3 linked regions of the Drosophila melanogaster genome follow. The protein of the gene in region 2 purifies or fractionates together with the protein of the main gene of each other region. This does not show direct contact. Each region holds a gene or a part of one and is shown on either strand. Other genes may lie near its edges.

The links. The genes of interacting proteins can lie anywhere in the genome.
Region 1: the proteins of mri (region 2) and RNF220 purify together in Drosophila melanogaster (affinity purification with western blotting; one study listed by BioGRID). This does not show direct contact.
Region 3: the proteins of mri (region 2) and CG4854 purify together in Drosophila melanogaster (affinity purification with mass spectrometry, with the first as the bait; 2 studies listed by BioGRID). This does not show direct contact.

The regions. Positions count from the first base shown.
Region 1 is NT_033777.3:22,721,933-22,729,606, reverse strand, and holds RNF220 (ring finger protein 220), read left to right. Parts: upstream 1-3,192; 5' UTR 3,193-3,337; coding exon 3,338-4,534; 3' UTR 4,535-4,723; downstream 4,724-7,674. Other genes in the region: CG45049 (uncharacterized protein), read right to left, coding at 68-254, 323-398, 2,116-2,300; Irp-1A (iron regulatory protein 1A), read left to right, coding at 5,083-5,095, 5,156-5,248, 5,320-5,489, 5,556-6,285, 6,348-6,448, 6,512-7,283, 7,348-7,674.
Region 2 is NT_037436.4:194,675-202,652, forward strand, and holds mri (mrityu), read left to right. Parts: upstream 1-5,499; 5' UTR 5,500-5,797; coding exon 5,798-6,386; intron 6,387-6,496; coding exon 6,497-6,694; intron 6,695-6,766; coding exon 6,767-7,084; intron 7,085-7,142; coding exon 7,143-7,357; 3' UTR 7,358-7,478; downstream 7,479-7,978. Other genes in the region: rno (rhinoceros), read right to left, coding at 1-1,929, 1,999-2,615, 2,674-2,863, 2,916-3,132, 3,206-3,400, 3,462-3,913; Gk1 (glycerol kinase 1), read right to left, coding at 7,540-7,755, 7,815-7,978.
Region 3 is NT_033777.3:20,024,940-20,032,512, forward strand, and holds CG4854 (uncharacterized protein), read left to right. Parts: upstream 1-3,118; 5' UTR 3,119-3,215; coding exon 3,216-3,341; intron 3,342-3,399; coding exon 3,400-3,899; intron 3,900-3,964; coding exon 3,965-4,099; intron 4,100-4,260; coding exon 4,261-4,459; 3' UTR 4,460-4,622; downstream 4,623-7,573. Other genes in the region: psidin (phagocyte signaling impaired), read left to right, coding at 1-724, 788-986, 1,047-1,231; CG4424 (uncharacterized protein), read right to left, coding at 1,688-1,826, 1,892-2,002, 2,113-2,247, 2,308-2,810, 2,872-3,021; trem (trade embargo), read right to left, coding at 4,727-4,892, 4,952-5,062, 5,119-5,253, 5,310-6,070, 6,125-6,271; idc (identity crisis), read left to right, coding at 7,001-7,171, 7,226-7,573.

The DNA of each region.
Region 1 (7,674 bases), on a different chromosome or scaffold from region 2:
AGGGACATTATACGAATTATATGTTAAATTCGAGCTTAAGATTGCTGTTTCTTCATGCAATACATACCGACATCGCGGGTCCAGTAGCATCCTGGCGGATCCTGGATATTGAATGGCAGCGGCGGCACCGAATCATCCTCGATGCAGTGCACAAAGAGACCTTGCCGCCAGTCTGAGGCCATTAACCAATCTGTGGACGCCAGAGCCATAATCATGAGGGCCACCACGATGACGCCGCAGATAAATGCAATCACCTGTGAGGGCAGAGAAATCAGTCGGTGCAATCTGTAAACGTTTCCGAAACTTTAGGCCAAATGCATACCTTCAGCGGCCTCGTGATTGTGATGGTCTCAATCGTCGTGGTCGGCGCCATTTTCTCCGCTGGTGGACGTAGAACACTGCGCGCATGATAATTGTGATTAATTGCGGGGGTAGGGGTATTTTTACCGGCTTATTAGGCCAGCCAAACTCACCTTATCGACTATGTATATGCAGGCAATGTGCTGCCCGCAGCTACTAATTGGAATGCGTTTCAATGCGTTTCTTGGTTAGTTTTGCTTAGTGGGATGTTGGAAGGGTTTCTTTTCTTTTCTTTTTGTTTTTTTTTACTTTTTTGGGGCAGGCAAGTAAATGCTACGCCGGTTGGCTTTAACAATCTAATATAAATGCTTCAATTGGCGTTTTATTGCTTTTGGTTTGCGCGCTAAGGTTTATCCAATGCGTTTTCAATTTCAAATTGCTGGCGGAAGCAGCCCGTTCAACATCTGTATTGTCAAAGAGGGGGGATTTGTTTGTTAGCGGGACGGGAAATAGAGAAATTGGTGACATTCGATTAGACCGACTGGCGCACATGGTTTGTACAACATGATTGTTTACATCAAGACAGTTAAGTAAGCAGCAGCAACATGCAAAAACAACTCGAGCAACAATATCGACAAAGACAATGGCTAACTATTATGGGGTTTATTCCAATCGAACTGCATCAACGCGACAATTAAAACTACGGTAGTGCTCAAATTTTTAGGTTTTTAACTATTATCATTCTATTATCATGTGTAATGAACAACAACTATTGAACTTTAGATTTAGCATTGATATGCAAAAAAAATAGGATCAGAATTTGGTTGAGAGCAGAATAAACTTTAGCTATACTATTTTGACCAGAATTGTAGACATCAATGTAGTATGTATGTTTTGTATTAACTGACGCAATTTACAAAACAATGCGTTGGTACAGTTGAATGAGTTTGGGATTGTTTAAATTGAAATCGCTCTATTGTGCCAGACAAAAACGCGACGGAATATTTCAGTCATCATTGGGGGGCGTATTTTGGCTCAATGACAAAAGACGGAAGCTGGGGTGATGAGGTGCAGTCCCCACATAAATTATGCTGCAAGGCGGACTGCAACTAAGCATTTTGAATGCTGGAAATACCGACATGCTAATTATCCATTCGCATTCCATTGTTATACCCTAACTGAGAGTACAATAGAATAGGTCAGACTTGTGACAATTTATGTACGTTTGTAAAAAAAATATCAGCATCTTGAAATGAAATTTTGAACAAATATTATAAAACAGAGTCTTCTTATTATCGATCTTGCTCAATAGTTGCTAACAAATAGGAAGTGTATCAAAATTTCGTTAAAACTGCATATTATGCCTAATTCGCACGATTCCCTGCCAATTTTAATATCTTCAGATACGCAAACAAAGATGCATATGTTTGTGTAAGTAGATGTTGCGTCTAATGTATCTCAAGATATTTCGACGGGCTAGACGGAGATAAATATAGTTTTACATATAGCGGCTAGAAATGTGGAATAAAAACAAAAACACATTTCGCAGATGAGCGAGTACCGACTTTGTGTGTGTGAGTGTGTGTGTGTGAATGAGTGGCATGGCAACAGGATCATAACGGTTAATTGCTATATAGAACGTAACGGTAACGGCAGGCAAAATTGGGGCAAACGGCCAAATGCAAAACAACAACAATGGCAAGGGCGAGGGAATTCGTATACACGTATGTTTATATATGTGTGTGTGTGTGTTGTGTGCTATGCGGAAGAACGGAAGCAAAACAAAATGCGATCTGTTTGAGTTCAGGAATATACCTTTCCTTGTAATAGTCCAGGGTTACCGATTCGGAATCAAATTCTGAATAATCTGGCAGCGATTCGGCATCAAAGGAGCTCATTCCGCTGAGCGTGTAATTGGGCAAGACGTTCATTTTGTTGTTGTAGCCAACAAGGTTACCCTGCTGCTGTTGTTGTTGCTGCTGCTGGTACTGCTGATGCATAGTTGTTGCTGTTTTTTCTACGTTTATTTTACTATATTTGCCTTATTTAACAATATGGCACACGCACACACACTCACGCCCAGGAGAAACTGGCTGCTATATTTTTTCTCTATTCTCTTTTCGCTGCCTTTTCACACTCTCGCCGTCTGCTTTGCACTTTCGCAAAAATATGCGTCGGTTTTGGGTTCAACCTGTATGCACTTACACTCTGCTTGAAAAGCTCTGTCGCTTTTCCACTTTCACATGTTCCTCGACCACTGACTTTTCTATATAATCAAAAAATAAAAACGACGAAAATAATAATGTTTTGCTTCCCTCATAGAGCTGGAACTTAAATCGATGTTGTCTCGATACTATCGTTTTGGCTGGGCATTTCTCGATAGCGATAAAGTGCCATGGAACTATCAGTTAATTTACATTTACCGTCAAATTATTTAATTTAACGAAGAAAGGAAATTAAAATAGCTTACATTTCGGATGTTTAAACTTTTATCAAAGCGGGGGCTGTGCTTTATAAAAATTTCCTAACAGTGAGGGAGAGACACTATCTGTCACATGTTATATCGGGCATGTAAACAACGCAATCTGATAATATATATATATTGCTGTATTAAGACCAACCAGAGTAGAGTAAAAATTAAGAAATCAGTACGTTTAATTATTTTATTGTAAGACTTAAGGTCAAAAGAGTTGTTGGAATGCAAAATGCAAACTTTGAAGTTTTAATTAACACGGAATTCAAACAAATAATCAATTATTATAAAGATATTTTTAAGTGAATAAAATTTTAATTATTGCTTAAGCATATTAATCACTGTGCTTGGCGCTTTTGTAACGGTTTTACGATGTATATCGCAATGACCACTTCCACTGACACGAAAAATAACGAAATCAGTGTGACCGTTTTCCACCGTACGAGAACGTAAGAAATCGGCGTCGCGTGGCTTGGACAGAGATTATCGAACAAAACAAAATCCGACTACAGAATCTTTTAACTTCGTTTACCCTTAAGAGTCCGCGGTGGATCCGAGGAATCGATGGCTACGGACACGGTGTCCAACGGCGAGAACTTCGCCCAGCACTTGAGCAGAAACAGCGACGACGACGTGATCTGTCCCACATGCGACGTGAAGATCAAGCGCAGTCAGGTGGCCGATCACTGCCAAGTGGAGATGGAGCGATTGCACAATCCCATTAGCGCTGTCACTCCACCGACCCCAACTAGCGGAGCAACCGCGTCCGAGGAATCCGGTTCGGTATCGGGGGGCAGACAACCGTGGAGCGTGTTCCAGCGGGTGCAGCGCAATCGGCAGGCCCGTCAGCGCCAGCGCACCAGGAAGCGTCCGGCTTCTCCTGCCCCACCAGCAACTGTAAATCCTACGGTAGCAGCTGCTCCTCCTCCAGCTGCAGCAACTCCGTCCGTAGCTGCTGCCGAATCGAGCCAACCCACCTGTCCCGTGTGCAACCACAACTTTCCGCAGTCCAACATCCAAGAGCATGTTAATCATTGCCTGCGCCAGAGCCGCCGCAATGGTCAGGCCAATGGTGAGCGGCATTCGAGTGAGGACTCGGAGGACAGCGAGGAATATGAAGAGTACGAGTGGGCGGGACAGAAGCGCATTCGCGTCTCCACTCTCGTGCAAGGAGGCTATTCCGCCCTGGGCCTGGGCCAGAGAATCAAATACAATGGCAGTCAGCAGGCGCAGGACGACGAGGACGAAGATCTCAACGTGGACGAGGATGACACTCACATCTATGGTCCTACGCAGTATGGCGAGGGCGATGTGATCCCACTGGTCAACGAGGACACAGAGGGAAATGTTTCCGAGGCGGATGTTACCAGCTACGTGCGCCGACTTATCTCCTCCAGCGATGGGCCCAAGCCAAACCATTCCAGCGAAGCCACCGAGCAAGAGCCTGCCAGCACAAGCAACGTGGAGGCTCCACCAGCCAGCGAGGAGCCGTCTACGTCGCGGTCCACGCGATCCACCTCCCAAAACCAGCAGCAGATCATCGAATCGCTGAAGGCCAAGCTGCGGCTCTACGAAAAGCAGGCGCAGGGCAAGTACAAGTGCCTGATCTGCATCGACGACTACAAGAATCCCGCCATCTCCGTGTCCTGCTGGCACGTCCACTGCGAGCAGTGTTGGTTGCAGACGCTCGGCGCGCGAAAGCTGTGCCCGCAGTGCAACTCGATTACCACGCCGAAGGACCTGCGACGAATCTACCTGTAGACGTCCATCACAGACTTGTTATCCCCGCTGCCAAATTGCTTGCGCCATAAAACAGGCTTTGCATCCCGACGCAGCTTTAGATGATAATCCCCTATACATATTATTTATATAGATTACAAATACCAATTATACTACGTGACATTACAATAAGCCTACCATGTAACTATTGCAATAAACCGCAGAAAACATAATTAATATTTAAGTTTATTTAACGAAATTAGCATGTAGGAAGGGAAAAGCGTTTAAAGACATGCAAACAAGTTATTTTAAATACCTTATTTTGAACTAAAATAAAAAAGCAATCAATCCAATATTATATCCAATATTATTTTCGAATCACAAAAATGATAAATTATTCCACTATAATTTACAAATGTTTCATTTTAAGTAATAAATAAATATTTTTTACTGTGTACCGGTTTGTTTTCATGTTCAGTTATCGATAATATAATGTTTGCGTTAGTGATGAGCAAGTTTTGCCTGGTAGCGGTTCCTCACGCGCTCATCTCTATATCACATTGCTTGGTTTTCTGTTTAATTTTTCCACAATGTCCGGCTCCGGTGGGATTTAATTGGAAAAAGGAGTATTTGATCTGTACGCTAATCCTGTCTTCCTTGCAGGCGCCAATCCCTTTGCCCAGTTCCAGGAGTCATTCACCCAGGACGGCAACGTCTACAAGTATTTTGATCTGCCCTCCATCGACAGCAAATATGGTTGGTAATCGTTATTGTTGTTCGTTATCATTATTGTTGTTATCTTTATGAATATTATTAACCCCCCACAGAGTCACTGCCCTTTTCCATTCGCGTTCTGCTGGAATCAGCGGTGCGCAACTGTGACAACTTTCATGTGCTGGAGAAGGATGTGCAGAGCATCCTGGGATGGACTCCATCGCTGAAGCAGGAAACCAGCGATGTGGAAGTCTCCTTCAAGCCAGCTCGTGTTATATTGCAGGTGTGGATTATTGCATCACATAGATTATGTTTGTATGTGACTTCTTAAGATATTCCCTGCTTTCAGGACTTTACTGGCGTTCCCGCCGTCGTGGATTTTGCTGCCATGCGGGATGCTGTCCGCGAGCTGGGCGGCAATCCTGAGAAAATCAATCCCATCTGCCCTGCCGACCTGGTCATCGACCATTCCGTTCAGGTGGATTTCGTTCGCTCCTCGGACGCATTGACCAAGAACGAGTCACTAGAGTTCCAGCGCAACAAGGAACGATTCACCTTCCTCAAATGGGGAGCTCGCGCTTTTGACAATATGCTAATTGTGCCACCCGGCTCTGGCATTGTGCACCAGGTTAACCTGGAGTATCTGGCCCGAGTGGTTTTCGAAAGCGACAGTTCAGCGGACGGATCTAAGATCCTTTATCCGGATAGCGTTGTGGGCACTGACTCCCACACTACAATGATCAATGGATTAGGTGTTCTCGGCTGGGGTGTTGGCGGTATCGAGGCGGAGGCCGTAATGTTGGGCCAGTCCATTTCCATGCTGTTGCCAGAGGTGATTGGCTACAGGCTGGAGGGCAAACTGGGCCCTCTGGCCACATCCACCGATCTGGTGCTGACCATTACCAAGCATTTGCGTCAGCTTGGTGTCGTCGGCAAGTTCGTGGAGTTTTACGGCCCCGGAGTGGCAGAGCTCAGCATCGCGGATCGCGCCACCATCAGCAACATGTGTCCGGAATATGGAGCCACTGTGGGTTACTTCCCAATCGATGAAAACACGCTGAGTTACATGCGCCAAACCAGTGAGTCAATCTTAAAAATTATCTAAATTTATTACTTGATATCCATGGATGTGGATCATTAGATCGCTCCGAGAAGAAAATCGATATTATCCGGAAGTATTTGAAGGCCACTCGACAACTTCGTGACTATTCCCTTGTGGATCAGGATCCCCAATACACGGAGGTAAGTGAGATTCTGTTTTTCCAATGCAAAGACATACTAACGAATCACTTTTTTACCCTGCAGTCTGTAACTTTGGACTTATCCACCGTGGTGACCTCGGTTTCGGGGCCCAAGCGACCGCACGATCGCGTTTCAGTTTCCAGCATGTGCGAAGACTTCAAGTCGTGCCTCATAAGTCCTGTCGGCTTCAAGGGATTCGCCATACCACCGAGTGCATTGGCTGCAAGTGGTGAATTCCAATGGGACGATGGGAAGAGCTATAAGATAGGTCATGGATCTGTTGTGATTGCCGCCATCACCTCGTGCACGAACACTTCGAATCCCTCGGTGATGTTGGGCGCTGGTCTGCTGGCCAAGAATGCCGTGCAGAAGGGCTTGAGTATTTTGCCGTATATCAAGACCTCATTGTCACCAGGATCTGGCGTGGTTACCTACTATCTGAGGGAATCCGGTGTGATTCCCTATCTGGAGCAGCTGGGCTTCGACATTGTGGGCTATGGCTGTATGACCTGCATTGGCAACTCGGGCCCGCTCGATGAGAACGTAGTGAACACCATCGAGAAGAACGGACTGGTTTGCTGTGGCGTCCTGTCGGGCAATCGCAATTTCGAGGGTCGCATCCATCCCAATACTAGGGCCAATTATCTGGCCAGTCCGCTGCTGGTGATTGCCTACGCGATTGCCGGCCGTGTGGATATTGATTTCGAGATCGAACCGCTGGGCGTGGATTCCAACGGCAAGGAGGTGTTCCTGCGCGATATCTGGCCAACGCGCAGTGAGATTCAGGAGGTAGAGCATAAGCACGTCATTCCCGCCATGTTCCAGGAGGTGTACAGTGAGTATAGCTAGCTGACTAAGATTTTTCCGCAGCTCTAGGCTAACTGTGTCCGCTATCACAGGCAAAATTCAACTGGGATCCAGGGACTGGCAAACGTTGGAGGTGTCGGATAGCAAGTTGTATCCATGGAGTGAAATATCAACATACATCAAACTACCACCGTTCTTCGAGGGTATGACTCGTGCGCTGCCCAAACTTAAAGGTATCGAGAAGGCTCGCTGTCTGCTGCTTCTCGGTGATTCAGTGACCACCGATCATATCTCGCCAGCCGGATCCATTGCACGAAAGTCACCGGCAGCGCGCTATTTGTCGGAAAGGGGTCTAACGCCGCGCGACTTTAATTCGTATGGATCCAGACGTGGCAATGATGCGGTGATGGCACGCGGAA
Region 2 (7,978 bases):
ACTTGATTTATCCGCTTCATTCGACACACGAGAGCTTGAATCCTTCACCTTGCTCTTTGCAGTTCCTGAAATGGAGTTTATGTCTGGCTCTCTGACTCTGTCGGACACATCTGGCTGTAGCGTCGTGGCGAGATTTGTGGATCGCATGTTCTCAGAAGCCTTTTTGGCTGCCTGGCGCTGTGGCACCACCAAAAGATCTGCCGGATACAACTTGGCATTCGGGTTCGGTTTGGTTTTTGTACTGTTGCCGATACTGGCAGCCCCTTCCTTTCCTTCCCGCGTGTTCTTCGCTTTACTAGTTGAGGACGCTGCTTGGGAAGTAGAGGATGTTGTGGCTGCTGTTCCTGGCACAAACTCTTTCATAGCTGCCTTTGTTCTAATCGTCTGTTGGTTTTGTGAGTCACTAACATTACTTTCCACGGTGGCCTGCTCCTCCTGGTCTTTTTCTTGTTCAGAGGAACTGCTCTCAGAGTCGGAGTAGATATGCTGTCCCAAGTTTCTACCAATGGCCGAACCAGTCGTGGCTAGTCCGGAAGTCGTTGTGCTCTCACGCTGTCGTTCCCCTCTTAGAGGCAACAATTCCTCACTTTCGTCGCTCGATACGCTCTCATCGGCATCTTTATCCATTTGGGCAAGTCCTCGTGTTGTCGTAGACAACTTTCGTCTTGCAGAGGCTCCAGTTCCCTCTCCAACGTCTGCTTCCGTTGTAGGTTTTGACCTACTTGCCTGGCTCCTATTAGGTACTGATTTGCTTTGAATTGGCCCCCGTCTCGCACCGCGCTCTGGTTCTTGGCGGTTTCTACATCGCTCGTCTTCACCGTCGCTGGAGCTGCTTGCAGACCTGGAATCCGGATACGTTGCAGACGCACCCGCAACTGCTTCATTTTGACGTCGCTGTCGCTGTTTTTGCCGCTGCTCAACGGACCGAGCGTAGCTTTGCTTTTTAAGGGGACTTCCTGAGGAAGACTTTCGCTTGGAGACTCCGCTACCCGCGCTAGAGCTACCGCTTTCACTACCCGAATCACTTCCTGAGGAACTATCGGAGCTGCTGGTACCATTCGCCGAGCTGGAATTACCTGATGATATAGTGCCGCTTGACGAATGGGAGGTCGTGCTACTGCGGATATTTGAGTGGAATTGACTTTTGTTGTGGGTCGACGTCGCCGCCGCCGCGCTGCTCTTCGAGGCACGCCTCCCTGTAGGATTCTTCCCTGGCGGAGACCGTACCTTGGATGTAGTCGTTCCCACCTTACTCCCTGCCACAGTCTTCTCAGGCGATGACGTGCGTGAACTAAGAATGCCATTATTAAGCTTCTTGTTTGGCGAAGCTTTAGCAGGCTGCTTGCGTTTGTTAGGAGACTGCGAGGCACGGCCACGGCCCTGTTTACCACTCTGCAGCTTACCCATAAGCTGTTCAAGGATGTATTTCAAATCCTGGTACTGCGCCGGCACAGTTTGTCCTCCCACAGAGCTGTAGAAACGGTCATACAAAGTAGGTCCGTCGTTGGCGTAGATTACAGCGTTCAGATCCATCACAGGTTGTTGCTGCTCTTGTTTGGTCTGCTGCTTCTCCAAGCGCATCTCATCCAGAACTCCCAGCTGCTTGTAGAATACCTGCTCACGTAGCTTAAAGAGAGAGCGCGAAAGCTTTTCTCTTCGACTAACCATATAGCAGAGATTACGAACTCGCTCCAAATCCTGTCGCAAATGCACCACCAACTTATGATTTTCCATGTCCTGTTGCTCCTGCTTGCGGGCTATCATCTCCACATCTTCGGACTTGGGCGGGATAAGCTCGCGATTGTGTCGAGACTTTCTCTTAAGCTTCCAATAATTGTATATGGCAACAATAGCATCGTCGTCGACATCAAATAGATGGCAACTGATGTCATTAAAGTTAACATGCTTATCGAACTCAGCTTCCACCTCCTGAAAATCAATGGGAAAAGTTAGCAACCGAATGCATGCAGAAGGCACAACGGAAAAGAAACTACTAACCTGGAGGCGCTGAGCTCTGGCTTGGTTACGTTCCTCGGAGGTCAGTTCGGTTTTACGGTGATTTTTCCGCCTGCGTGGATCCTCTCCAGTTGTCCCGCACGCGTTGTTGCCGTCGTCGGCTCCTCCACCAGCCCCACTGCCGTATCTGTTTGCTTTCTGCATGGCGCTTGCGACTGAGGCACTGCCTCCCCCATGACTACCAGCATTTTCCTTCTTACCCTTGCTCATACTGTGTTTCTGACAATAAGAGCGCAGCTTCACGCCGTCCTCAGCATTACCTTCCTCTATGATTGCACGCATTTCCAGGCCATGCTGAAACGCGCAAGTCACATGGTATGCTGTTTTGCAGGGCTTTACTGAGCACTGGATGCAGCTGCCAACTCGCTTTCGGCAGAGTACACAGATCAGGGACCAACGCGACTGAGGAATGCTAGAGATTTTCGTGATGGGTTCCATGCGATCCACACACCCAATGCTGACCTCGGGTATCCACAGAGCGCAAGAGACGTGTGCCCAGTGCTTACCCGACTTGTTGGATTTCATAGCGCCGCCCTTATTTGGACAGAGGACACAGTCCGGCTTAATTCCCATCGAACAAGTGCGGCATAGCCATTGTCCTGAAACAAAAGTTTACATGAGCACACTAACATTTCCACTCCACTAGGTGCTGCTTACCTGATGGAATTGCTGTAATGCCATAACACGCCTGGTGCACACAGATATTGCAATTATCACAGAATACCATTTCGTTCGCCTCCTCGGAGTCGGGCGATCGGCAAACATCGCAGATGACATTCTCATCGAATTCGATGCCCAAGCCTTCTTCCAGTTTAAGTATGACTTGAATCTGTTCCCAGCAACGAACCTAGAACGCAAAAGTCAATATATTGGTTCAGCATGGGGTCTAGTGAGCTTACCTCTAGCTCCTCAATGACGCGCTCAAACTGCGTCGCGTTTATGGGAAAAGCACCACATTGGGCACGATCGCTGTTGTAGAGACGCAACCAGGCCTCGTCAATAGGATCTATATCATAGGCACATGTGTTCTCCGCCAAGGCAACAACATTCGTCAGGTAATGCAGATCCGGCGAGTAGTGCTCGTCTTTGGTAATGCGCAGATAGCGATTTTTCGGGCTGTAAACGAGAGCCGCAGTTCAGTACAGAAATTCACAAGTACGAAAAAAAAATATGCTAGGTATTAACTTACAGCTTAAAGTCGTGCGCTGGAGACACAACAGGCTCGGGCAGAACATAGACGCATGGCTCAGGAAGGGAGTCTGGGTTAACGGGCACTTGCACACCCTTTTCCCATTCCTGCTTCCATGGGTCTGTTACTATTAAATACTCGTAGTTGGCCAACGGCTCAGAGTCTGGCAATTTCATTGCGCTAATGAGATCCTTGCTGCAATTAAAATTTGAATATTATTGAATCGTTTCTAATTGGTTTGCTGGTCTGTTAATACCGGTAAAGTTCAGCTGGAGCTTCCGTTGAGCTTCGATTGTAGATGCTCGACATCTTGATGTCCGCTACAGACCGCGCCTGCCAGGAGCTACTAGAACTCGCCCCCTGCGACTTGCACTTGCTTGCCGACTTTGCCAGTTTCGTTGACTTCGATTTGCTAGTGCTGGTAGCGCCTGCCGCGGCTCTTCCTTGTCCTCCTCCCCCCGCTTCCGCCCCTGGCTCTTCATGTTTGCTTTTGCACAAAGGCAGAACTGGCACACGCTCCGATCCTGTAGCTGGACCCGATCCAGTCACTTCAGCTACTGCTGCCGTAGTGGCTCCATTAGGTGGCCTACCTTTGCGCCGCTTGGTGGGCGGCGGCTGCGGCTCAACATCCTTGCGCTGATGCTGTTGCGGCGGCGGATGGTGCGACTGGTGATGCTGCTGATTACCGCGCTTACCTCTTTGTGACATTTTTCATTGGTGTTGATTGGATATTTGTGTGTTTTTGCTTCGATTGGTACCTTGTCCCTTGTGTCTTGTGCTTGTTAGAGAACGGGTTCTTTGCTGCAAGACCTAGAAGTAAGAAGGCAAAAGCAGCTTCAATACGTATTTCACGCGATTTATTTACTAACCAAATTTACTTACTACATGCTTAAGGCCACAGTTGGCGACACCACACCGGCTGCTGCTGCTGCGCTCTCCTGGATGTGGTGCGGTCGTGATTCTTGGTGGTCCACCCTTTGTGCCCCGTGGACATGGACGCCGCTGCTGCCCCAGCCCTAATATCCAGTAGCGACGCCACTTTGCAGTCCTGTGTGCTCCGCACTTCTCCACGGGCGAGTTAGTCCACTTCCACTGCCACCTTCCGCTTGCTGCCTTTTGTTATTGTTCGTTGTTTATCCACAGACTTTTGCAAGTTTTTCTTTGGCGTTTGGCTCACTGGTTTGGATTCTCGACGAGCATTCGCTAGTCTGGTGGGAGAGAAGGCATATGTTTGTGGGTTATTCGCTTATATTAGGAGCGTTCCCAGTAAGTGTCCACATTTTCTATGCTTTCCGAAAATACACAAAAAATATAGAAAAACGTTCAAGCTGCCAATAGGTGACTGGTGCAAAACCCACAGGCGCCCTCCCGCTCGCACATAGCACGCTCGTTTAAGGGCGCGCTTACTATGCGCGTGAGTGCAAGCAGGAGGCAAGCAGGTGGCGTTCGTGTTGCATCCGCCAGCTTATACACGGCACCCAGCATACCCCTCCGACACTTCACTACTCAGAAGCAATCAAAGTTTTTGCACTTTTTTTTACACTTTTATTATAACAACTTATTTGTTATTGCTATCCGCAAACCTAGACAGCCACTCTGCTCGTCGCTAGCGCTTCCGCACGCGACACGCCCACTCAGGGCGCCACTTTCGCACTGCCCATTCTTGGGGGAGTTGGGATTTTGTTATATATTTTACATTTGGGTTTTTTGCCGCCGCAGACACACACGCCAAGCACTTGTTACTGACCGAAGACCGCTCACAGTCTTCGCATTTCGTGAAGCGTCCGTATCAAACTCACGTTTCCCAAAATCGCATTTGCGTTCGCAGGAATTACAATTCTTTTGATTATTTATTTTATTTTTGAGCAAAAATTATTTTTCTCAGATCGCCATGATGAACGGTTGCAAATTTAAACTATCGAGTGCATTTAGTCGGTGGTCGGTATCGATACACAGCTTGGGTATATACAGAGTTGCATTCGGCCCAACGCTGTATTTTGTTTTAACAACATTTAATTAATTTCCACAGAATTTTCATATTAATTTGTATTTGAAAAAAAAAGTTATTTCCATTAAGTTAAGATATGTTAATTAAGAATTTTCTTATTATTACCTCTAAATATTATAGATTTTCTTAACTTAATAGAAGTTAATAATTATGTAACAAACAATGTCGAAATGATGAAATTACAATCTTTTTATTTTTTTAGAGAGGAATTTTTTATTCGTTAAAAAAAACCCGATAAGCTGAAAACAAACATCGCGATTGAAGATAAATATCGGTTAAAAATATGTTATTGTGATTACAGAGGAAAACTATCGACTGAGCGCACCCAGGAGCCCATCTCCAGCACCAACAAGAAAAAATATGTATATTTATAACTATATGTAAAAAGGAAAAAGTCGCGTCGCACAAAGGTAACGTGAATACTATTTAATCGGACCTCTGATGCAGCGATAAGCAGGCTTTTTTTCAACGGAGCCTCGCTAATTTGACCGCCCTCTGCCAGATTGTCTTTGTCTCTCTCGAAAAGTCGGTGGAACGGTGTTGTACTGGAATATTTGAAGAGTGGCTCATCAAACGCAACAAACATGTCAAACACTCCAAGTCTGAACAGTAGTAGTAGCAATATCAGTAGCAAGGCGCCCCTTGCCCAGAAGCAGGACACGTACAGTAGCGACAGCAGCGAGGAAGTTCTCGAAACAGCCGAGGAGCGGAGGAGGCGCATCCTGAAGGAGCGCAGCCGGCTGAACCGTCCGCAGCACAATATGTCAGGCGGAGGTGCTGTGCCCAAGCACGACATAAAATCCCCTTGCGGAGCATCTCCCAGCTGCCAGGCAACTGGTTCCGGAATGGGCCGCCTGCCGCTCCCTCCCGAAAGGATCACCATGCTGGTGGACGGTGTGCGCTTCACGGTGGAGCAATCACTGCTTACAGCACATCCCACCACAATGCTTGGCACGATGTTCGGCTCCGGCTTCCAGTTCGCTCATACCAACGAGCGCGGCGAGTACGACGTTGCCGACGGCATTTCGCACTTAGTGTTCAGAGCCATTCTGGAGTACTACAAAAGCGGTGTTATCCGCTGCCCGCCCACTGTTTCGGTACCGGAACTAAAAGAAGCCTGTGATTATCTGCTCATTCCCTTCGACGCAACCACGGTGCGCTGCCAGAACCTAAGTGAGTATAACGCGAACTATTCCTGCCAGGGCGAACCTTAGTTGTGGCCACCTCTGCTTGTTTTCCGTCTCTTTCCTTGTAACATGCCCTCTGTTATGTTTGACATAAAGGAGGCCTTCTCCACGAGCTTAGCAACGAAGGAGCGCGACAACAATTTGAACTCTTTCTTGAGGACCTAATTCTGCCCCTCATGGTGGCCTCGGCGCAGCGCGGGGATCGAGAGTGTCACGTTGTGGTGCTCCTTGAAGACGATATGGTCGAGTGGGATGAAGAGTTTCCGCCTCAGATGGGCGAGGAGTATTGTCAGAGTGAGTGTATTTAAAAAATGTGTTTGCATTAGTATCACGGAAGTGGAAGCAACACTAACATTTCTAACGCAGCCGTGCACAGCACTGCCATGCACCGATTCTTCAAGTACATCGAGAACCGCGATGTGGCCAAACAGGTGATGAAGGATCGCGGTCTGAAGAAGATACGCTGTGGCATAGAGGGATACCCCACCCACAAAGAGAAGATCCGAAGGCGTCCCGGTGGACGGGCTGAAGTCATCTACAGCTATGTGCAGCGACCTTTCATCCACATGTCCTGGGAGAAGGAGGAAGCAAAGAGTCGCCATGTTGATTTCCAATGTGTAAAATCCAAGTCTGTAACGAATCTAGCGGAAGCAAATGCAGATCCGCCACTGGAATTGGACGCAAGTGCGTAAGGCTCGAAACGGAGAGTAACAGCTCCCTTAAAGCCCAAATTCGTTTTCAGGTGGAAATCCGATTCCCCCTATAGCAGTGGCTAATCCGCATCCCAATAACGCTGAGCTCGCTGCCGGTATGGCCGTCGCACCCGCAGCTATAGGCGTGGCTGGTCCAGCAGTCGTGGTAGCCGTCGACGAGGCGGCCGGGGGCGTTGTAATGCTCAACGAGTTGGACCAGGCAGCGATCGCTGTTGCCGTCGGAATAGTTGATGAAAATATGTAGATCAACTGACCGGCTGGTAGTCGGAACACACTGCCAGAGCATCACAGCGCACAGAAAAACACTTTACGTTTTTAATTAACATTTTTATATGTATATGTAATAAATGGAAATTTCGAATACGAAAAACCAAGCAATTGATTTACGAATAGAAGAACATGAACGTTACCAGACATTAGCTGTGATCACGCTCCGTCAAAGGCCTCCCGTTCGCCCTGTGGAAGCGTCGAAGTCTCCCAGTTCAGTGAACGATCGATAGCCATTTTCCACTTTTGGTAGCGCAGGTTGCGATCGGTGGCACTGATCGATGGCTTTATGGCTTCTCGGGGGCCAGATTTAGAGAGTGGAGCCTCCATTTGGTATCGGTTTTCAACGGCTTTGTAGGCTGCCATTGCAGCTCCCTAAAGCATTTTTGAAGCATTATTGAAGCTGCATTTACATCACAAGTTAAAGTACTAACCAGCGCTGTTGTCTCTGCGATCTTCGCCCGGAGTACTTGAATTCCTACTAGGTCGGATTGAAGCTGCAGGAACAGATTATTCACAGTCATGCCCCCGTCTACCATAAGCTTGGCCAGTGGAATCTTGCAGTCCTTGTGCATCGAATCGAGAATATCACGGACCT
Region 3 (7,573 bases), on a different chromosome or scaffold from region 2:
GGAGGAGTTCATGAACTTCAAGGAGCGGTTAACCAACAGCTTGCAGTACGTGGCCTGCTCGGTGGAGGCGCAGATCTGTGACTTGGTTAGTTGCTATGGCAATATCACGCAGAATCTATCCGCATATGTGGCGATGAGTATTGAGCCGGCGGAGGACCGGATCGCTTGGCATGAGTTGAGCGACAATCGCGACTTAGGGGCCATTATCCGATGGGATCCGCTACATGAGGTAGACGCTGCGGAGGAGCGCAGGGAGTCGTTCGACCAGGAAGTTGAGGTGCTTCAAGTACGTTCGCTGATGCTTCGACTCTTTGCCTCTTTCATCGACTTGTACCACGGCGCGGGCTTAAAGGATTCGCCAGCGGGAGCAGAGACGGCCACCTTGGAGCTCCTGCGGGAGTCCTGGACGGGATTATTCCAGAGATTGCGCGTGATGAACTACAAGCCGTTGGCGCAAAAATTTCTAGTCAATCTGCTGCCCACACGTCTTCACCTGCTGCTCGACATGCCATACGAACGTTTCTTTGACGACCTTGCCCAGTTGGTCCTTGACTTGCAGAGCGGGTCGGCAAAGCTGGCCGAGCAGTGCAAGCGGGTGGGTGACAATGTTATTGCGACTATGGAGCTGTGCGTGCAGACCATCAACGAGAGCAACGAAAGCAACGGCATTGACGGTCTGTGGAAGCGGCGAGGTCAGCAGCAGAAAGTGGCAGCCAGTTTAGAGGTAAAATGTTGGTAGTAAAAGCAGGTAATCTTAAATTCACCAATGTTCTTATAACTTTTCCAGATGCTATCGCTGTACGCCTTCCTTCTGTCCGTGTTGAACGACAAGCTGCAGGTAAGCTCAAAGACCAAGACCAAGAAGAAGCCGGTGGAAAACAAGGTGGATGGACCGCAGCCGATCAGCGAGAAGGAGCGCAGCCAGATGTTGCAGGAGCTGATGCGACAGCTGAAGCACAAGTTTGAGGCCTGCGACACGGCCATACGTAAGTGGCTCTAGACAAATCGCCCAAAGATAAACTAAGGTATGATTCTGCAATCCTTAGGCTCCTGGAAGGCGCCCGTTTTGCCACGCGACCTCAGCTCCTTTATGTCTGACATGTCGCTGAAGCCGGAGGTGGAAGCCACGCTCATCGGCGACGTTTCGGCCACCTTTAAGGACTCGCACGAGCTGATGGTCACCGAGCTGCGCAATCTGCTGAAGGACAAGATACGCATGGTGGCCAAGTAGATGCTTCTTTGCTGTGCAAAGGCCATCAGCCAGCCAGTCCGGTCATCGTTGCCCCCACACAATCCAAGTTCATAGTTTGTTATTTAATTTTGTTAACGGATACAACCGACCTCATAATCCTCCTACACTACAATTATCTCGAACACCAGCGCCAAGTCAGCACTTATCAATCACTTTTCGGCATTTCCCTCGTACAACACATAAAAGTTGTAAAATTTTGTAAAACAAAAATTAGAAAAGAACAAAACAAAGAAAAAAGATTGCGTACCGCTTTGCAAGTAAGTCAAGTAAAAGAATAAATTGTAAAAATGTAAACAGTTTGTTTTTTTTTTTAGAATGCTTTTTAGTTAGTTTCATGAAATCTTTCTAGCAAACTTTATATAACAAAGGTCGTATATACAAAGTTTTAGGCTTTAAGCAAAGGTAAAATGTCGCGATCTTATAAATATTATATTATTAAGCATTAGCTACAGTAATCCCCACTTTAAAGGTACTTAGATAGGCAGTCAGTCGTGGATCATTTATATGCTGTTGCGTTTGCAGATGCGCCACGAGATTGTGAATGCGAGCGAAGCTTTTGTTGCAGAGTTGGCATCTGAAGTAATAATAGCAACGTGATAAGTTTTAGGTTTGATTTAGTTTAAAACCGAAACCACTTACATGTGGGGTTTTTCGCCCGTGTGCGTCTTGTAGTGCATTTTAAGGACACTGGCATATGTGAACTTCTTTCCGCAGGTCTTGCAGGCATAAGGACGCTCATTTCGATGGGTTCTGTGGAGGAAATACAATTAATTAGCTAGTCTCTACTTGTAGTTAATTAATAGAGGTTCCAAAAGATACAGAAATGTTTTTACTGGAATAATTATGTATTCTTTGCTTACCTTTCATGCTTAACTAGGGAAGTGCGATCCGCGAAGTTGCGTTGGCAATATTGGCAGGTATATGGTTTAGCTCCCGTGTGCTGCCGGATGTGGCGCTTCAGCTGGTAGTTGACGTGGAAGCTCTTGTGGCAAATCCTAAAAAGAGCCACATGACTGAGACATTTATATACACAAAAAAGTGGTAAGTACACCTACTCGCACTCGTAAGGCCGCTCATCGTTATGCCTTCGCATGTGGGTGTCCAGCGTGCTCTTCCTGGGATATCCATTGCCACAGATAGCGCACACATGCAATTTACCCTTGACGGCACCAGCAGGAGCAGGTGGAGGAGTAGATGCAGGCGGAGGATAAGGAGCAGGAAGCATTTCCACCGTTAGAACTGTGGGCCTTTCCTTTTCCGCCGGGCCATGTGGCGTTTCTTCAATGGGATCTTCCGTAGACCAAACTCCCTCTTCAAGCACCTCATCCTCTGGTGGTTCAAGCTGCTCAGTCTCTATCGGTGGCGGAGTTGAAGGTCGCGTTTGCTGCACCACCTCCTTGACTACCCCTTGCTCGACTGCATCCTTTATCACGTATTCCCGGAGAAATTCATTGGAGCGCTGGCATATCTGTCGAAATTTGTGGGCCAGAGTTAGAAATGCCTTGCATCTGAGGCAGATTCTGGTGGGCAGCACTTCCTCCTTTGCCGTTGCCCTTATCTATGGATGAGATATTACTTGAAATTAATTAGAAATATCAAGGAAAACGAAAGGATCCCACCTGAATTCCACTCAAACTTTCGATTTTGTCACAGAGGGATACGCCACCGGGCAGCCTATCGTCCGCTGTCTGGAAAATAGACACCATGTGGGCTTCGCCATCCTGCAGGCAAGTCCTGCACAGGGTCATCATGTTCAATCGTATCTCCATTTGAACCAAACGAGTTGGCCGACAAAAATTAACGATCAAAATAACTCTGCTTCCTCTTCGCTGTTTGGCCAGTCACCGATATTTATCGAAGGGCCGATTGCCATTCGCCCCGGAGCCGCACAAATTTTAATTGTTTGGTCAGTAAACAAACAAAAATTAAATATTTCGGAATTTGTACCTACAATAACAGAAGAATGCATACCAACGTGGATAGCAGGGACCTTAAGTGTCGCATCTGCTTGGTGCAGCCTAAGGATGAGTCTCTCATGCCCACGGAGCCCGATTTTCCAGATAAAATCAAACGCTGCACAGGAGTTGAAGTGGGTTTTTGAATATCTATATTATGATCTATATTACCCATTAAAAACCTACCCACAGTTGAGTGAGAGTCCCGACTGGCCCAATCGCATCTGCACCAGCTGCGCCCTGCTGCTCAGAGCTGCCCTCAAACTCAGATCCCTTTGCCAGCAGACGGAGAAGGATCTGAAGGAGCAGAAGCTGCAGGAGATAAACATAGAGATTGTTCACGATGAGCAGGAGACGAAGAAGAAAACTGAATCAAGAGACCTGTCCAAGAATGAGGCTACCGGTAGCGACAGCGAGTTGGAGTACGAGTACCTAGACTCATACGATGTAACGCTGGAGAGCAGCGAGGATGTGGCCTGTAGTGCCGATGAATTGGTCAGCATAGAGCCTGCCATCTCCGCTCCAGAGGAATCTGTCTATTCACTTAGTCCCAAACCGGTAACTTTTGAAGACGAGGACTCCGGACAGGCTGCTTCCTTTACCTGCAACATTTGCAACAATGTCTACTCAGAGCGCGTAAAGTTGACCAACCACATGAAAGTCCACAGCGCGAAGAAACCACACGAATGCGAGTAAGATTTTGATTTGAATTTGTTCCCATCGTATCCTATAATCGCATAATCCCATTATCTTGTAGAATCTGTCACAAACGTTTTCGCCAGACTCCGCAGTTGGCGAGGCACATGAACACCCACACCGGTAATCGTCCCTACAAATGTGACTATTGCGACTCCAGGTTCGCCGATCCCTCCACTCGCATTAAGCATCAGAGGTAGGTAAAAACATATAGGGCTGTCATAACTAGAATAAAAGAGATATATTTCTGTTAATCAGCTTTAATGTCAATTAATTGTTAACAAGTCTTGATAAAAGTTACTTCAAATCTAAATCTTAAGACATCCACGGAAGTTTCTAACGTTAAATACACTTTAGGATCCACACCAACGAACGACCGTACAAATGCGAGTTCTGCAGCAGGTCCTTTGGCTACTCCAACGTCCTCCGGGTTCATCTGAAAACCCATACCGGTGAACGACCATTTAGCTGCCAGTACTGCCAGAAGTCCTTCTCCCAGCTGCACCACAAAAACAGCCACGAAAAGTCACACAAAAGGACGAAAGAGGTGAAATGATTGCAGTGACTAAGAGGAAACATTGAGGTGCAAATTAAATAAGTTTCTCGTTGAAAATTGTACAATATATTAATGGATAAGTTCTAAGCCATAGGGCACCGCCATTAAAATTTGTCATTTTTCCTTATTTAATTTTTTATAAGAAGTAAAAAACAAATTGTACAAAAAAATATATCCTGTGTACATTTATTTGCTTAATGGAAGAACTTAAACAACGGCTTACTAAATACTTAGACTAAACTTTGCATAAGAACTAAAAAGAACATGTCACTCTTTGGGGAGTTCATTGAGAAACTCCGGCGTTTCCCCCTTGACATCTTCTGCTTTGGTGCTCTCTTCTGCGTCATTTCTCCAGGTGATACGTCTATTATGCGTTTCCCGATGCAAACGCAATTTGTAGGCCTTCACAAATCCTTTGCCACAAAGATCACAGCTGAAAGAGAATAGCTATTATTGCAGGATAATGAAGTAGTAAAATATGTTGATGCTTACACATGCGGCTTCTCCCCCGTGTGAATCATCTTGTGGAACTTCAGGTTGTCCGAGTAGGTAAACGTTCTGGAGCAAACGTCGCACACGTAGGGACGCTCCTTAGTGTGAATTCTGGAGAGAAATAATGTCAGTTTAATTTACTTTCAACTGTTTCGAATATTTCTCACCTATGATGTTTGGTTTTCGTGGATCGATCGGCGAAGGCAGCTGGACAGTAGTTGCACTTGTATGGTCGGTTCCCCGTGTGAGTGTTCATGTGCCGTACCAGCTGTTGATTCTGCACAAAGCCTCTTCCGCAGATCCTATAATAACATCCTATTAGCCATAGTTACTATTTACTTTCAACTTTTAAACCTACTCGCACTCGTGTGGTTTAACACCAGAATGGAATTTCATGTGCTCGGTGAGACGCGCCTGAGTCGGATAGATATTTCCGCACACATCGCAGATGTATGTGCTCAGCTTGTTGCGCGGCTTTCTGCCCACCTTCTTTTTGAAGGTTTCCACTTTTGGGCTATTCTTGTGGTATGCAACTGGCTTCCTGCCCGATCGGTCGCATTTTTCCGGCTTAGCATGAGTTGGGTCATAATCTTCGTCAGAGTCGAGTATGTCTTCAGCAATTTCTTCTTCGGGCGGCTCCTCTGTGGCAACATCTGTGCCGGTGGAGCCTTTTTCCTGTGCGATTTCCGGCGAGTTTTCGTTGGTGAGCAGTTCGTATTCCTCGTATTCAGCATAGGTTTCAGCCTCCTCGATCTCATTTGGCACCGGCTGCGTGGGATCGTGCACATCGAACATATTGGTATCATCAGTATCACCATCCTCCACGACATAGGTGATAACCTGATGTTGCTGATCCTCCTCGCCCTCCACTTTCATGCCGCCATCCAGCTGACTGGCGTAGTCCTCCCACGACTTCAGTACGCTCTCCACCGAAAGGTCCTCCGCGATGCTAAGCAAATCCCCTTCGCCGGCGGCGTTAGCATTGCTGGCCTCCCGGTCCAGCATGTCCATAATGTGCTGATGGGATCGCTGGCATGTCAGACGGAACTTGTAGCAGAGCCGCAGGCAGCGCACGCACTTGCTGCACATCTTGTCCGGGAAGTTGTCATCTAGGCTGACCTGTTTGGGTTGGAATAATTTAAAATGGGCAAACCAAGCAGGATTCACACTTACTGGAATGCCTGCGCAAATGTGCAGCATTTGGTCCAGTCGCGTGCTTGCCGTTTCGCTGAATATGTCGTGGAGCAGCTCCTCGCCCTCGCTGGGATTGTTCAGGCAAACGCGGCACACCACCCACTTCTCGTTGGACTCAGTTTTCATGGCTAATTCGATAAAACAATCACTTCGGTTGTTGCAGAAGATTCAAACAGCTGAATTTAAGCGTCCACGGCCACTGGCCATTCACAGCGAAACGCGCCCGCCAAAGTTGATACGGTGAATGCACGTTATGAACGACTACATGGAGCGTACAGGGTACATAGCTGTATGTGCACTTTTTACCAAACAAATGTTTTAAATAATTTTTTTTTGGTAGAAAATAATATAAAAATGCGCGTCATTTTATTAATTTTATTTTCAATTTACAAATATTGAAGGAAAATGGTTTTAAGTTCGTTTATATAATAAAAAGGAAAAGCACTATTCTATCAAAGTAGTTTTGTTTCAGTACAGTAATGACCACACTGTCTTATGGAACGATGGAACTTTACATGAGCTTGACATATAATATTGTATTAAACTGCTTAATCAAGCTTTTATATATTTAAATTGTAAAACACTTGAATTCCAATTTTACTGATTTATTTAACTGCCCACAAAATGCATTCGTATTCTTAATTATATATTTAATATTTGAAGTAGCGAATGGAATACCCTTAGCGTCGACTGTGGTCACCCTGTGTGGCGACATTCGCATTGCAACGCGTGCACTTCGCTCCAGACTACAATCTATTTTTTTGGCGTCGTCTTCGTCCAGCGAGCGTGTTATTATAAATATTATAGCGGAGGGTAAGTAGCCTCCTGGAAGAGATCCATCTCCTATTCGCGACAATGAGAGACTCGGCAGCACATGCGAGTCCGGCGGCAGCGGCAACGAGCACGCAGAAGTGGATCGTTTGCCGGGTTTGCCTGCAGCAGCCCAAGGAGCCCATGGCCAGCATTTTCAACGACGATTCGGAAAAGGATCTGACCCACATGATTCGCGAGTGCGGCGGAGTGCCCGTAAGTTTGTCCCATTGGACCCCGAACCATATAACAATGCAATTTCCTTGGCAGATCAAACAGTTCGATCACTATCCGGACAAGATATGCGAGAAGTGCTTCAAGGTGCTGAAAATGGCATTTAAGTTTCGAGAGACCTGCCAAAGATCGTACGGCCATCTGCGCCAGTTCGTTGGACCCGTAGAGGTGGAGCAGCGACCACCGGAGAAAAAGGGCTCAGAGACAGCCACCAAGCTGGAGCCGGATGTCGATCCCGATGAGGCGGAGCAGGAGCCAGAGCATGACGAGGAAGACGAGGATGTGGACCTGGACGAGAGCCACTATGCCGAGGCGGACGATGCCGCCGAAACGCAGGGTGGTGTCTTCCATGACGAGATTGAGGATGGTATCCTCGTTGAGCTG